Linked DNA regions of Xenopus tropicalis. The protein of the gene in region 2 binds, or shares a complex with, the protein of the main gene of each other region. Links are inferred from orthologs where the notes say so. Each region holds a gene or a part of one and is shown on either strand. Other genes may lie near its edges.

What was found.
Region 1: kat7 (region 2) and jade3 share a complex: the UniProt entries of both Homo sapiens proteins name them as parts of the HBO1 complex. The link is inferred for Xenopus tropicalis from reciprocal best matches to the Homo sapiens genes KAT7 and JADE3.
Region 3: kat7 (region 2) and jade2 share a complex: the UniProt entries of both Homo sapiens proteins name them as parts of the HBO1 complex. The link is inferred for Xenopus tropicalis from reciprocal best matches to the Homo sapiens genes KAT7 and JADE2.

What each region holds. Positions count from the first base shown.
Region 1 is NC_030678.2:114,981,691-114,985,345, forward strand, and holds part of jade3 (protein Jade-3), read left to right. Parts: intron 1-508; 5' UTR 509-519; coding exon 520-568; intron 569-2,298; coding exon of another isoform or gene 2,299-2,319; coding exon 2,320-2,402; intron 2,403-3,655. UniProt on the Homo sapiens protein: Scaffold subunit of some HBO1 complexes, which have a histone H4 acetyltransferase activity.
Region 2 is NC_030686.2:14,504,858-14,508,612, reverse strand, and holds the start of kat7 (histone acetyltransferase KAT7), read right to left. Parts: upstream 2,647-3,755; 5' UTR 2,531-2,646; intron 1-2,530. UniProt on the Homo sapiens protein: Catalytic subunit of histone acetyltransferase HBO1 complexes, which specifically mediate acetylation of histone H3 at 'Lys-14' (H3K14ac), thereby regulating various processes, such as gene transcription, protein ubiquitination, immune regulation, stem cell pluripotent and self-renewal maintenance and embryonic development.
Region 3 is NC_030679.2:26,415,613-26,419,367, reverse strand, and holds the start of jade2 (protein Jade-2), read left to right. Parts: upstream 1-1,234; 5' UTR 1,235-3,614; intron 3,615-3,755. UniProt on the Homo sapiens protein: Scaffold subunit of some HBO1 complexes, which have a histone H4 acetyltransferase activity. Acts as an E3 ubiquitin-protein ligase mediating the ubiquitination and subsequent proteasomal degradation of target protein histone demethylase KDM1A.

The DNA.
Region 1 (3,655 bases), on a different chromosome or scaffold from region 2:
TTTAACATGCATGTGATAGCAAACTGACTTCTGGTAACAGTACACATTGACCTGCGCACCTGCAAGTGATACATACCCCGCTGTATGTTGTTAAGTATGATGGTGCTGCAGAGGACCTTTGGGTGCTAAAACATGTTTGCATAAAAGGCAGCAGGTGGATCTGCAATGCTGTGGCTCCATCCTTGATGTATCTACTTACTGCTCTAAAAAGAGCATTCTTGGCAGATGTAGCGGCTATTAAACCATCTCTATAGTGTGCAGAGAAACCTCCTTTTAATAAACGTTCGCGCCATTTTATTGCACTCCTGTGCCTTCCCTGGGTCCTGTAAAATTGAGTTGAATTTAACCGTGATATAACCTGCACTGATAGTTACTAGTCTTTACAGAGTTTTAGGGTGTACATAGCCTTATATGTGCATTATATTAAAGAAATGAATAGAAAAATTGATGGCATCTTCATTTCAAACACCAATAAACGTCACACATTTCTTTTCTTTATAATGTCCAGGATGCGTCAGGATGAAACGCCTCAGGAACCTCAGCAGCAGTGACAGCTCGGACAATGAGAGTGAGTATAATATTGTCAAATATATTTTGAACTAATGTATTCTTTCTTCAGAGGACCATTAGGGGATAGAGAAGGGAACTTGGACAAGTCCACAACAAAACACAGCAGCATTAAAGTGGACCTGTCACCCAGACATGAAAATCTGTATAATAAAAGTCCTGTTCAAATTAAACATGAAACCCAAATTCATTTTTATATTAACACATCCAAACCCATTATAAAGGCATTTAAAAATCACAGCTGTCAATCATATATTGCTTGCCCCGCCTCTATGCCTTAGGCATAGAGGCGGGGCAGACAATAACTTTAGCTTTCCATTCAGCACTTCCTAGATGTCACTGCACATCTCACTTCCCCCCCCCCCCCCTCCTCATCTAATTGTGTAGCCAGGGCATCTGGCCCCCCATTCTGGCACATAAACAAGATTTTGGCATGATACAAAGCTTGCCTTAATAACAGTGCCCACAAAATGGTGCCTGCCTGCTTGCTTTGATTGAGTAATTCCGAGACGGAAGGAAACAAGATTTATATTATTTATATAGAGTAAGTAAAGTTTATTTTGCTCAACTAACAATATAGAAAAAAATTTGGACTTATTTCTTAGGGTGACAGGTCCGCTTTAAGAGAGATTTTTTAAAGGAAAGTCACAATTGGTGTGATCCAGTTTCATCTCACAGATGTTCACATTACTCATAAATTAACTGGCAATATATGTTGAAATGGGCTGTAGTCCTTGCCAGTCTGAATTTTCACATCTGCCTGCTTTAAGTCGTGCAGGGCCTCCCAAAAGCCCCATAGATAGGCCAAAAAATCAATCAGTGTGGAAGGATCAAGTCAGTGACTTTTTTACATGAATGTCCTTATGGTTCTTGGCCGTTCATTCTTTTTGTCCCAGTCATTATTCTCTCTTAACATCTTTTAACCTTGTCTTCATGAACTTTATACCTGGTAATAATGCACCGTGTTACACCTCATTATGGGTAGTTGTTATTATAATCATAATTCATATAGCATCAGCATGTTCTGCTGCATTTTATAGAGATACCAGTTCCTGTCCCAGTTGATCTTATAGGACTAAGGACCCTATGGCAGGCACACATACTGTGGTCAGTTTTATCAGAAGCCAGTAAACATGCTGTATATTTTAGGAGTGTGGAAGGAAAACCATGCAAACATGATGAGAATTTAAAAACTCCTTTTCAGATTGTCTGTTAGCTGGACTTGAACCTAGGACCCCAGGGCTGCAATGCAGAAGTCCTGTCTCTTTTTGCACCATCTTGCAGGCCTGGATTCTGGCAAATGCGTGAGGGGCTGCATTAAGATGCCATAGACCGTTACTGTTTATTGGCCTGGTGGGGGGCTATTTGGGCCTCTGTGTACTTCAAATGCCAGGGCTTATTTCAAATCTCAATCCAAGCCTGCCACCTTGCCACAGTTCTGTGCATCCTTTAATTGCAGTTAAAAAAAAATGTTTCCAAAGAGCTTCCCAATTTTTGCAAGTGTGCAACTAGAGCACAGTTAATACATAACTGAAGTGTGAGTCCTAATTTCAGCTTTTAGGGTTAACTAGATTTCATGTAGATCTCCTTATTAAAACCTAAGTATATATACACTTTTACACTTGCTGACCAAGTGTAAGTATACATTTTACTGTTTACAGCTATTAAATAATTTTATATAGATTATTTAATAGCTGTAAACCGTAAAATGTATACTTTCTGTTAATACAGGTTTTTTTCCCATTAATTTAGGTCCTTCTACATCATTTTCCTCCTGCTTCCAGCATAAGGGTAAAGGCAAATGTACAGCCGATGATGGAAAGAAATCTGCCGAGGTATGTGAGACTCCCCTCTGATGCTTTTTGGATCTCTGTGGACAGCATACTGTAAGGTGTTAATCAGGGTAAATGTTAAATAATACGGGTATAGAATCTATTGTCTGGAAACAAAAAATCCAGAAAGCTCCAAATTACCAGAAGGCCATCTTTCATAGAGTCAGTTTTAAGCAAATAATATTTTTGTACCCTTTCTTCTCTGTAGTACTAAAACCATACCTTTTACTTGATGGTAGCTAAACTGCTTAAACCCATATCGGTGGCAAAACACCTGTACATGAACTGGTAAAGGAAATCACAGAGACACCAGCATTAGTGATATGCAGGCTAGGAAAACTTAACCCACACCACTGTTCCCTCTAAGCTGTGCGCGTGTGCGCGCGCACATGACTTTCCGAACCCGCGCACACAAATTAAAATAGCGCGCACAAAAATTAAATTTTTGTAACTTGATTTAGACAAACTGAAAGACCTGCGCAAAAATGCCCATAACTGAACTCCAACAAACATTCTGTAGCGCACAAAAATTTAATCTTGCTTTAAAATGCGCACGGATGATATTTTTTGCGCACACAGCCTATAAAAAATTAGAGGGAACGTTGACCCACACCCAACCCTAACCTGCAAAACCTAACCCACAATATGCTGCCATTGTAGGACTCGCACCCAACCTGTACCCACATCTTTCCACTTTGTACACTACTTCTGTAGCCTTAGGTTCCAAGACAGTTAGACTTCTGGAGGAGAGGAAGAGTGTGCCTCCCCACTTTCACTTGCACCCAACCACAACTCACAAAAAATTTCAACCCTAACCTAAGGGTAGACCTGCAGGTCCAGTGGGTTGTGGGTGAACCCAAACATCACAAGTCAGCACTTATAAACTGTACTAATGGAGGAGAAGATGGAGCCCATAGAGACTGAGCATTTTGACTTGGTCACTAACTTGAAATTGAGATAGGCAAGTGACAATACAGGTGAAGGGGAATTATACCTACCCAAGCAACTTAATTTAGAAATACTTAGAATGCTTTTTTGAGAACGTTTGCAGTTACATTTACTAGTTCTTATATTAGCAATTTATACTGCTAGTTTCATGAATTTGCAACAGGAACACTCTGCTGTTTTGTCCAGCTGGCATCTTATTGACAGGACTTTGTGGCATGTGTATCATATTGCAAAAATCCTATGGGACGAGGGGAGAACACAGAATAAAGTGCATAAAACACAGAGCAAACCCTCATCATTGAATAGTT
Region 2 (3,755 bases):
GAGGGAATACAGGGGTAGGGGAGATAGCTCTCAGTACAAGTGAGGGAATACAGGTGTAGGGGAGATAGCTCTCAGTACAAGTGAGGGAATACAGGGTTAGGGGGGATAGCTCTCAGTACAAGTGAGGGAATACAGGGTTAGGGGGGATAGCTCTCAGTACAAGTGAGGGAATACAGGGTTAGGGGGGATAGCTCTCAGTACAAGTGAGGGAATACAGGGGTAGGGGGGATAGCTCTCAGTACAAGTGAGGGAATACAGGTGTAGGGGAGATAGCTCTCAGTACAAGTGAGGGAATACAGGGTTAGGGGGGATAGCTCTCAGTACAAGTGAGGGAATACAGGGGTAGGGGGGATAGCTCTCAGTACAAGTGAGGGAATACAGGGTTAGGGGGGATAGCTCTCAGTACAAGTGAGGGAATACAGGATTATGGGAGATAGCTCTCAGTACAAGTGAGGGAATACAGGGTTAGGGGGGATAGCTCTCAGTACAAGTGAGGGAATACAGGGTTAGGGGGGATAGCTCTCAGTACAAGTGAGGGAATACAGGATTATGGGAGATAGCTCTCAGTACAAGTGAGGGAATACAGGGGTAGGGGAGATAGCTCTCAGTACAAGTGAGGGAATACAGGGGTAGGGGGGATAGCTCTCAGTACAAGTGAGGGAATACAGGGGTAGGGGGGATAGCTCTCAGTACAAGTGAGGGAATACAGGGGTAGGGGAGATAGCTCTCAGTACAAGTGAGTGAATACAGGGGTAAGGGAGATAGCTCTCAGTACAAGTGAGGGAATACAGGGGTAGGGGAGATAGCTCTCAGTACAAGTGAGGGAATACAGGGGTAGGGGAGATAGCTCTCAGTACAAGTGAGGGAATACAGGGGTAGGGGAGATAGCTCTCAGTACAAGTGAGGGAATACAGGGGTAGGGGAGATAGCTCTCGGTACAAGTGAGGGAATACAGGGGTAGGGGAGATAGCTCTCAGTACAAGTGAGGGAATACAGGGGTAGGGGAGATAGCTCTCGGTACAAGTGAGGGAATACAGGGGTAGGGGAGATAGCTCTCAGTACAAGTGAGGGAATACAGGATTATGGGAGATAGCGCTCAGTACAAGTGAGGGAATACAGGATTATGGGAGATAGCGCTCAGTACAAGTGAGGGAATACAGGGGTAGGGGAGATAGCTCTCAGTACAAGTGAGTGAATACAGGGGTAAGGGAGATAGCTCTCAGTACAAGTGAGGGAATACAGGGGTAGGGGAGATAGCTCTCAGTACAAGTGAGGGAATACAGGGGTAGGGGAGATAGCTCTCAGTACAAGTGAGGGAATACAGGGGTAGGGGAGATAGCTCTCGGTACAAGTGAGGGAATACAGGGGTAGGGGAGATAGCTCTCAGTACAAGTGAGGGAATACAGGGGTAAGGGAGATAGCTCTCAGTACAAGTGAGGGAAAACAGGGGTAGGGGAGATAGCTCTCAGTACAAGTGAGTGAATACAGGGGTAAGGGAGATAGCTCTCAGTACAAGTGAGGGAATACAGGGGTAGGGGAGATAGCTCTCAGTACAAGTGAGGGAATACAGGGGTAGGGGAGATAGCTCTCAGTACAAGTGAGTGAATACAGGGGTAAGGGAGATAGCTCTCAGTACAAGTGAGGGAAAACAGGGGTATGGGAGATAGCTCTCAGTACAAGTGAGGGAATACAGGGGTAGGGGGATAGCTCTCAGTACAAGTGAGGGAATACAGGGGTAGGGGAGATAGCTCTCAGTACAAGTGAGGGAATACAGGGTTATGGGAGATAGCTGTTAGTACAAGTTGATCCAGGGACTGGTCCGATTGCCATCTTGGAGTCAGGAAGGAATTTTTTCCCCTCTGCGGCAAATTAGAGAGGCTTCAGATGGGGTTTTTGCCTTCCTCTGGATCAACTAGTAGTTAGGCAGGTTATATATAGGCATTATGGTTGAATGTGATGGACGTATGTCTTTTTTTCAACCCAACTTACTATGTTACTATGTTACTAAGGGTAATGGTGTCACCTGTGTGAAATTACCTTTTCAGTAGGGATATGCCATTAATTATAAACATTGGATTAGCCCTGTGCCTGCGGAGGCATGAATTCTATTGCTCAAACATGCTCAATGCAAGGGATTTTCAGTATTTTATCACAGCCACTTGCTAAAAGCATTCTCCATATATCTCAGAGTATTCTGTATCTCAGCGAATATGAGGCATGCAGATGTATTAAAGCGATAGTTCACCCTTGCATTAACTATTAGCTGATAAAACCCTATTCTTTTTAAAATGGTCATTAACCCCAGCAAGAAGTTGTATTCTACGTATCTTTCTATCCATGCCTCAAGTCCCTGGTTCGTAAGGCAAATGGGAACCTAACCACATAGCTGCCCGTTTCCAAAATGGAGAGCAACAGAAAAATGAAAATGATTTCTCTGTGAAATAAATTATACTCAGATGTACTTGTACGGGAATATACACCTGTAACACTCCATGTTATACAAACAGCTGAAGCAAAACACTGAATGTACCTCAATTAGGTTTCCATGCTTTCCAACACTGCTTCCTTACTTCCTTTGTTTATACCACGCCCTTAATTATCGGCAGCCTATAGAAAACCTTGCAGTGATCGCACAAACCAATCCAACGACGGACTATAGCGGCACCGACAGGAACAACATACTACAATAGCGACTGCTATTAAACCACCTCAACCAATCAGTAACGAGAGGAAGGCGGGACCAGCAAGTAATTGGCGCGCATGAGAATCAATGAGGCGCCAGTCCTGACAGACATAAACTGCGTCCAATCCACAGCTGCACAGAGCACATTTCAGCCAACCACAACATAAGATGGAACGCAAGTATCCAATCGCCGCCTCTCACGAGTTAACCCACAACAGGCCTTGGTTTGACTGTATCTCTCACATGGAGGCTGCTGCAGGCAAAGCAAAAATAGCGCCGTATGCTCTGCACAATAGCCAGTGCCTACACGCAGCATTCTTCCAGTGCAGTGTCCAGAAGAGGCCCACGCCACACCAGGGGCACACGCCCACCCCCATACGCAGCTTCCATTTTCCTATCCCATGCATCTCACCTTCCTCCGGGGCATCGCTTGGCGCTCCCCCCTTCTCCCTTTGATCCCGCCCAGCACAACCGAATTCGCGGTTGGCGCAGAACGGGCTTTTTCTTGCGCCGTCTCCGGGTAACGGCAGAATGACGCGCAGGCGCGGCCCCTCCCCTTGAGTCAGGTTTCTCGCCCTGTGCATCGCGTACGCACCCGGAGCCCCTCCTCCTCACCTCTCACTCGCTATTGTCTCTCCGTGGGAATAGCCCCGCGCATGCGCAGAACATGGATCTGCTCAGCCCGTTATACCAAAAGGCAGTCAACTGGCTCCTTGTGTATCCATGCGCATATATCTGCCGGAACTATATGTTCTTATATCGCAATATTATTGTATAGTTGGTGTCTTTTCCAGCCATTGATTCACAGAACCCTGCAGTCATAACTTAGAGCAAGAGAGGGGCAGGGCAAACTGAATTCCTGTGGGAACAATGTTGTTTATCCCTGGGATAGCACGTTGGAGATGATAATAACTACAATCTCTAGCATATTGGCTGCCAATATGGAAGCTCACTCGCAGAAGCCTATATTATCTTTAAAGTGAAATAATCATGTTTTCTTTCTTATTAATAATAAAAAATAATGACAACTTCTGGTATTTCTTAGTAAAATATTACAAGGCAATAGGTACTC
Region 3 (3,755 bases), on a different chromosome or scaffold from region 2:
TTGGTATTCAAAAATAATGGATTCGGTACATCCCTAACCAAAATACAGGATTTGGCCCAAATTCCCAGCACTCTTTTGAAGGATTCAGATAACACTAAGTCCTACTGTTTAGCTAAACTGAGTTAAAACCCACAAAACTTTACTGCTTTGGACAGCTAAACATGATACTTTTTTGTTCCTAGAAGATGCAATTTTTCAATTGTTTTTGTCAGATCTGAATATGCATGCAGATTAGAGTGTTGATATTCAACAGAATCTTTTGTAAAGGATTCAGCATTCGGACAAATAAAAAAATACTTGATTTGGGGCATACCTTAGATGCACTAAAGAACCAACCACAACAAAAAAAAAAAACTAAAAAAATGAATACCTTTCACGTATGTATAAAGCTGGGGACAACTAAACAACACAGATTAATAAAGCCTTGAAAAGAAACAAACTGGCACCTCCAATTTTAACATTATTTAGGGGTTATGTAATAAAAGGCACTAAGTTTGCCCAGGAACAGTAACCAATAGCAACCAATCAGCAGGTAGAATTTACTGGTCACCTGTTTCAAAGCAAACATCCTATTGGTTGCTATGGGTTACTGCTACTGGGCAAACATAGTGCCTTGTATTACATATGGGACATGTGATCTAAACCTTTTCTCAAGAAAACCACATAAGTTTTTATAGAATTAAACATTTTTATTCAATGAATTGTAATTACTATTAAAAGAGGACCATGAAGTCACAAAATTGTACAGGGACACTTTTGTGGGACCTGACCCATAGGTTAAGAGCTGCTGCTCCCACTCACTCTCTCTATAGTGAACAATGTAACACCTATTGTAAAATATGAAGTCCCCTAGGAGATCCATGACTATATAAAAGTCATGTAATTCCAAGGTAATTTCTAACATCCTCATATTTTACAACAGGGGGTACATTATTTATTATAATACACATGTTCCAGTGAGTCACATATCACATTACTAAGCACCAACTGATGACATCACCAAGCACCATATATAAGGATATAATTTACAGGATAATCACGGCTCTTGTGTATAAGATATATTTACTGTTTACATATTTAAAACAATGTATAACATCACCTTATTTAATGGAGTTTTATTAATACAATAGCATATGTCTTTTACATAAACTGGGGCTGTACAGTATGCTCATACTTAGTAGTCCCCTCAAGTACTGTTTACTGTAAACTAAACCTCCTAATACATATATATATATATATATGTATTTATATGTTTAACCACTTCTCATTGGCGTTCTCATTGGTACTTCATTGCCTGATTTGCAAAGGATTTGGGGTTCTGCCGGATCCCAAATAGTGGATTTGGTGCATCCCTATATATTTTTGCTGAATTTTTGTGTAATTGTTCATGTGTTATATAGGAATGAGAAGTATGAAGCCGCTTTACTAAGAATATATGCATAACACCATATGAGTAATGCCAAAAATATGTGATTGGCCTTTATGAACACAGACAAGGGCAGGGGACGCCTATGAAAAAGATTCGGTTTATAACATTATGTTGAACACGAAGTTCCCGACCAAATGGCTCCAGTTAAAAAGGATATTTTGTATGCGAGGTTTCCCAGCTTTGCCAGGTTATGCCTACATTACATTACGCTGGAGGCAGCATCCAGAGCTGATCGCTTGAGGGATATACCAACACGTAAGGGGTAGGCGACAAAGCGGGAAACGGAGGTTGTTTTCACAGAGCCATTTATAAGCGGAAAATTAAGTATATATGAAACGAAGAAACAAGTGCCCCAAGAACAAACCAATGTAAAGGTGGAGCCGCCTGAGCGTTTGCTGTTATTCCCCTCCCCGCGGCACATATCGCCCCGCCAGCAGCTCCTTCCTACTAGTCCCTCAGTGAGCGGCTCTCCCGGGGGAGGGGGCAGAGGAAACACCTGCAGATGTCACGTAACTATTCGAGCGCTGGCTGATCAGCGCCACATTATGAGCAATAAGCAGAGAAAGTTTCCCGGTGCCCTAAGTGCAGCTTATTATAAAGCACCGGCTCCTTACATTCGGGTCTATCCGCAATACCCACATTAATCCCCTCTAAGCATAAAGTGTACTGCTCATAAATAATTGCGCCAAATTCACCAACTCAGTAAATGAATGACAACCTTTTCGCACGTCGCTTTATTCCGTGCAGGAACAATAACTCCCACCTCAGCGGCGGGACATTTATACATTAGTTGGAGCGCTAAAGGCTGTCACTTGTCGAATTAAGGGCTGTCCCCTGAACGTGACTACAGATCTTTCCGCCTCCGGGCATCGTCACAAGCGCTAGCGACCTTATATATTTCTATAGCGCTTAGTCGCACCCCTCTCTGGGCGGCCATGCTATATACTGTTTTATAGCGCAGGAGCTGGGGCGTTAGGGGATAGAAATTCAGAGTTTTCCTTCCGTTCTCCTTTCACCTATCCCAATAAAACTCTCGAATCTCCAACCCACCCCGCCGCCTCTGACTTCTCTCGCACTTGCAAGGGGGTGTCCAGCCCCCAGTCCCTCCTCTGCCTCTTTCTCTCCTCCCTCGGACCCCCCTCCCCTTCGTATCCCAACCCCAAATCAACCTCCTGTTTTCAGAAACCTCTTTTGACGCAGGAGAAATGGCAAATTTGAAGTACGTCATTAACATGGCGCCAAAAGCTTTTTTCCTGTAAGGTTGCTCGCTGGTGGTGCCCAACGCCTGTGCCTGGAGAGGGCTCCGCGGAAAGAAGAGTTAGCGAAGGGGCAGCACAGGGGGGGCCGGGCAAGGGGGTGCAAGTGCAACTAATGAGCACAACTGGGATAAAGTGAAGGCAAAGCAGGGGAGGAGTGCTGTGCTGGGGGATAAGAAAGTGGGCTAGGAAGGGGGAGTGAAGCCGTACTTTGGAGGAGAAGGGGTGAAAAAGAAAAAGGGGAGGGGGGAATTGGAAGAAAAAAGTGTTTTGCTGGGGAGGGAGAATCATTGCGAAACCAACCTGATCTGACTTGTAGCGCAATCCGATACTGCAGCTTTTTTTTTTTTTTTTTCTCAAAAACGTAATTTAACTCTATCCTGTCACAAACACATGAAGGATTGTCAGCTCGAACCCCCAATCAGAGAGGGACCCAGGCAGCACCCCCTCCCCTACCTGCTCCTACAGGCACCCAAAGCCCTTCCAGCATGACACTGCCATAGGACTGAGCGGAAAGTAAAGCCTCGCAGCACCCACCCCCTTTACGAGGAGCCTAACAGGGCTGCGAGCATTCATATCAACACACACACGCATCTGGGGATGGCTACGGGGATCCTGTGCAGCAGCCCAGCGAGGAAGTGTGTGTGAGAGACACAGCGGCCATCTGATACGGGAGTGAGGAACGTCCATCTCACCGGGGGAGCTTTTATTTGTGCATGACAGCCATGGAGTTACTTTGTACCCACTCCTAGAGGGAGAAGGCTGGGGAGAGCGGCTCTGGATACACTCTGCAATGATACACCGCGCACTTTCTCTGGGAGGCTCATGCTCTTTTCTGGGTTTTTTCTCTTCCCCCCACCCCCGTTGGATCCTCCCCTATTTTAACCTGAGCTAATCTCACCAGTGAGGAGACCCCCAAGCAGAGCAAGGTAACAAGCGCAGATGCGTAACCATCTGAAGGGCTGGCGGGGTGCGCGTTTGGCTTTGCTGTCAATTTGCTTTTGGCAGTGGGAGGAGGAGGGCTGACACACACACATGTATCTATATATAAGTGTATTTCTAAAATGTGC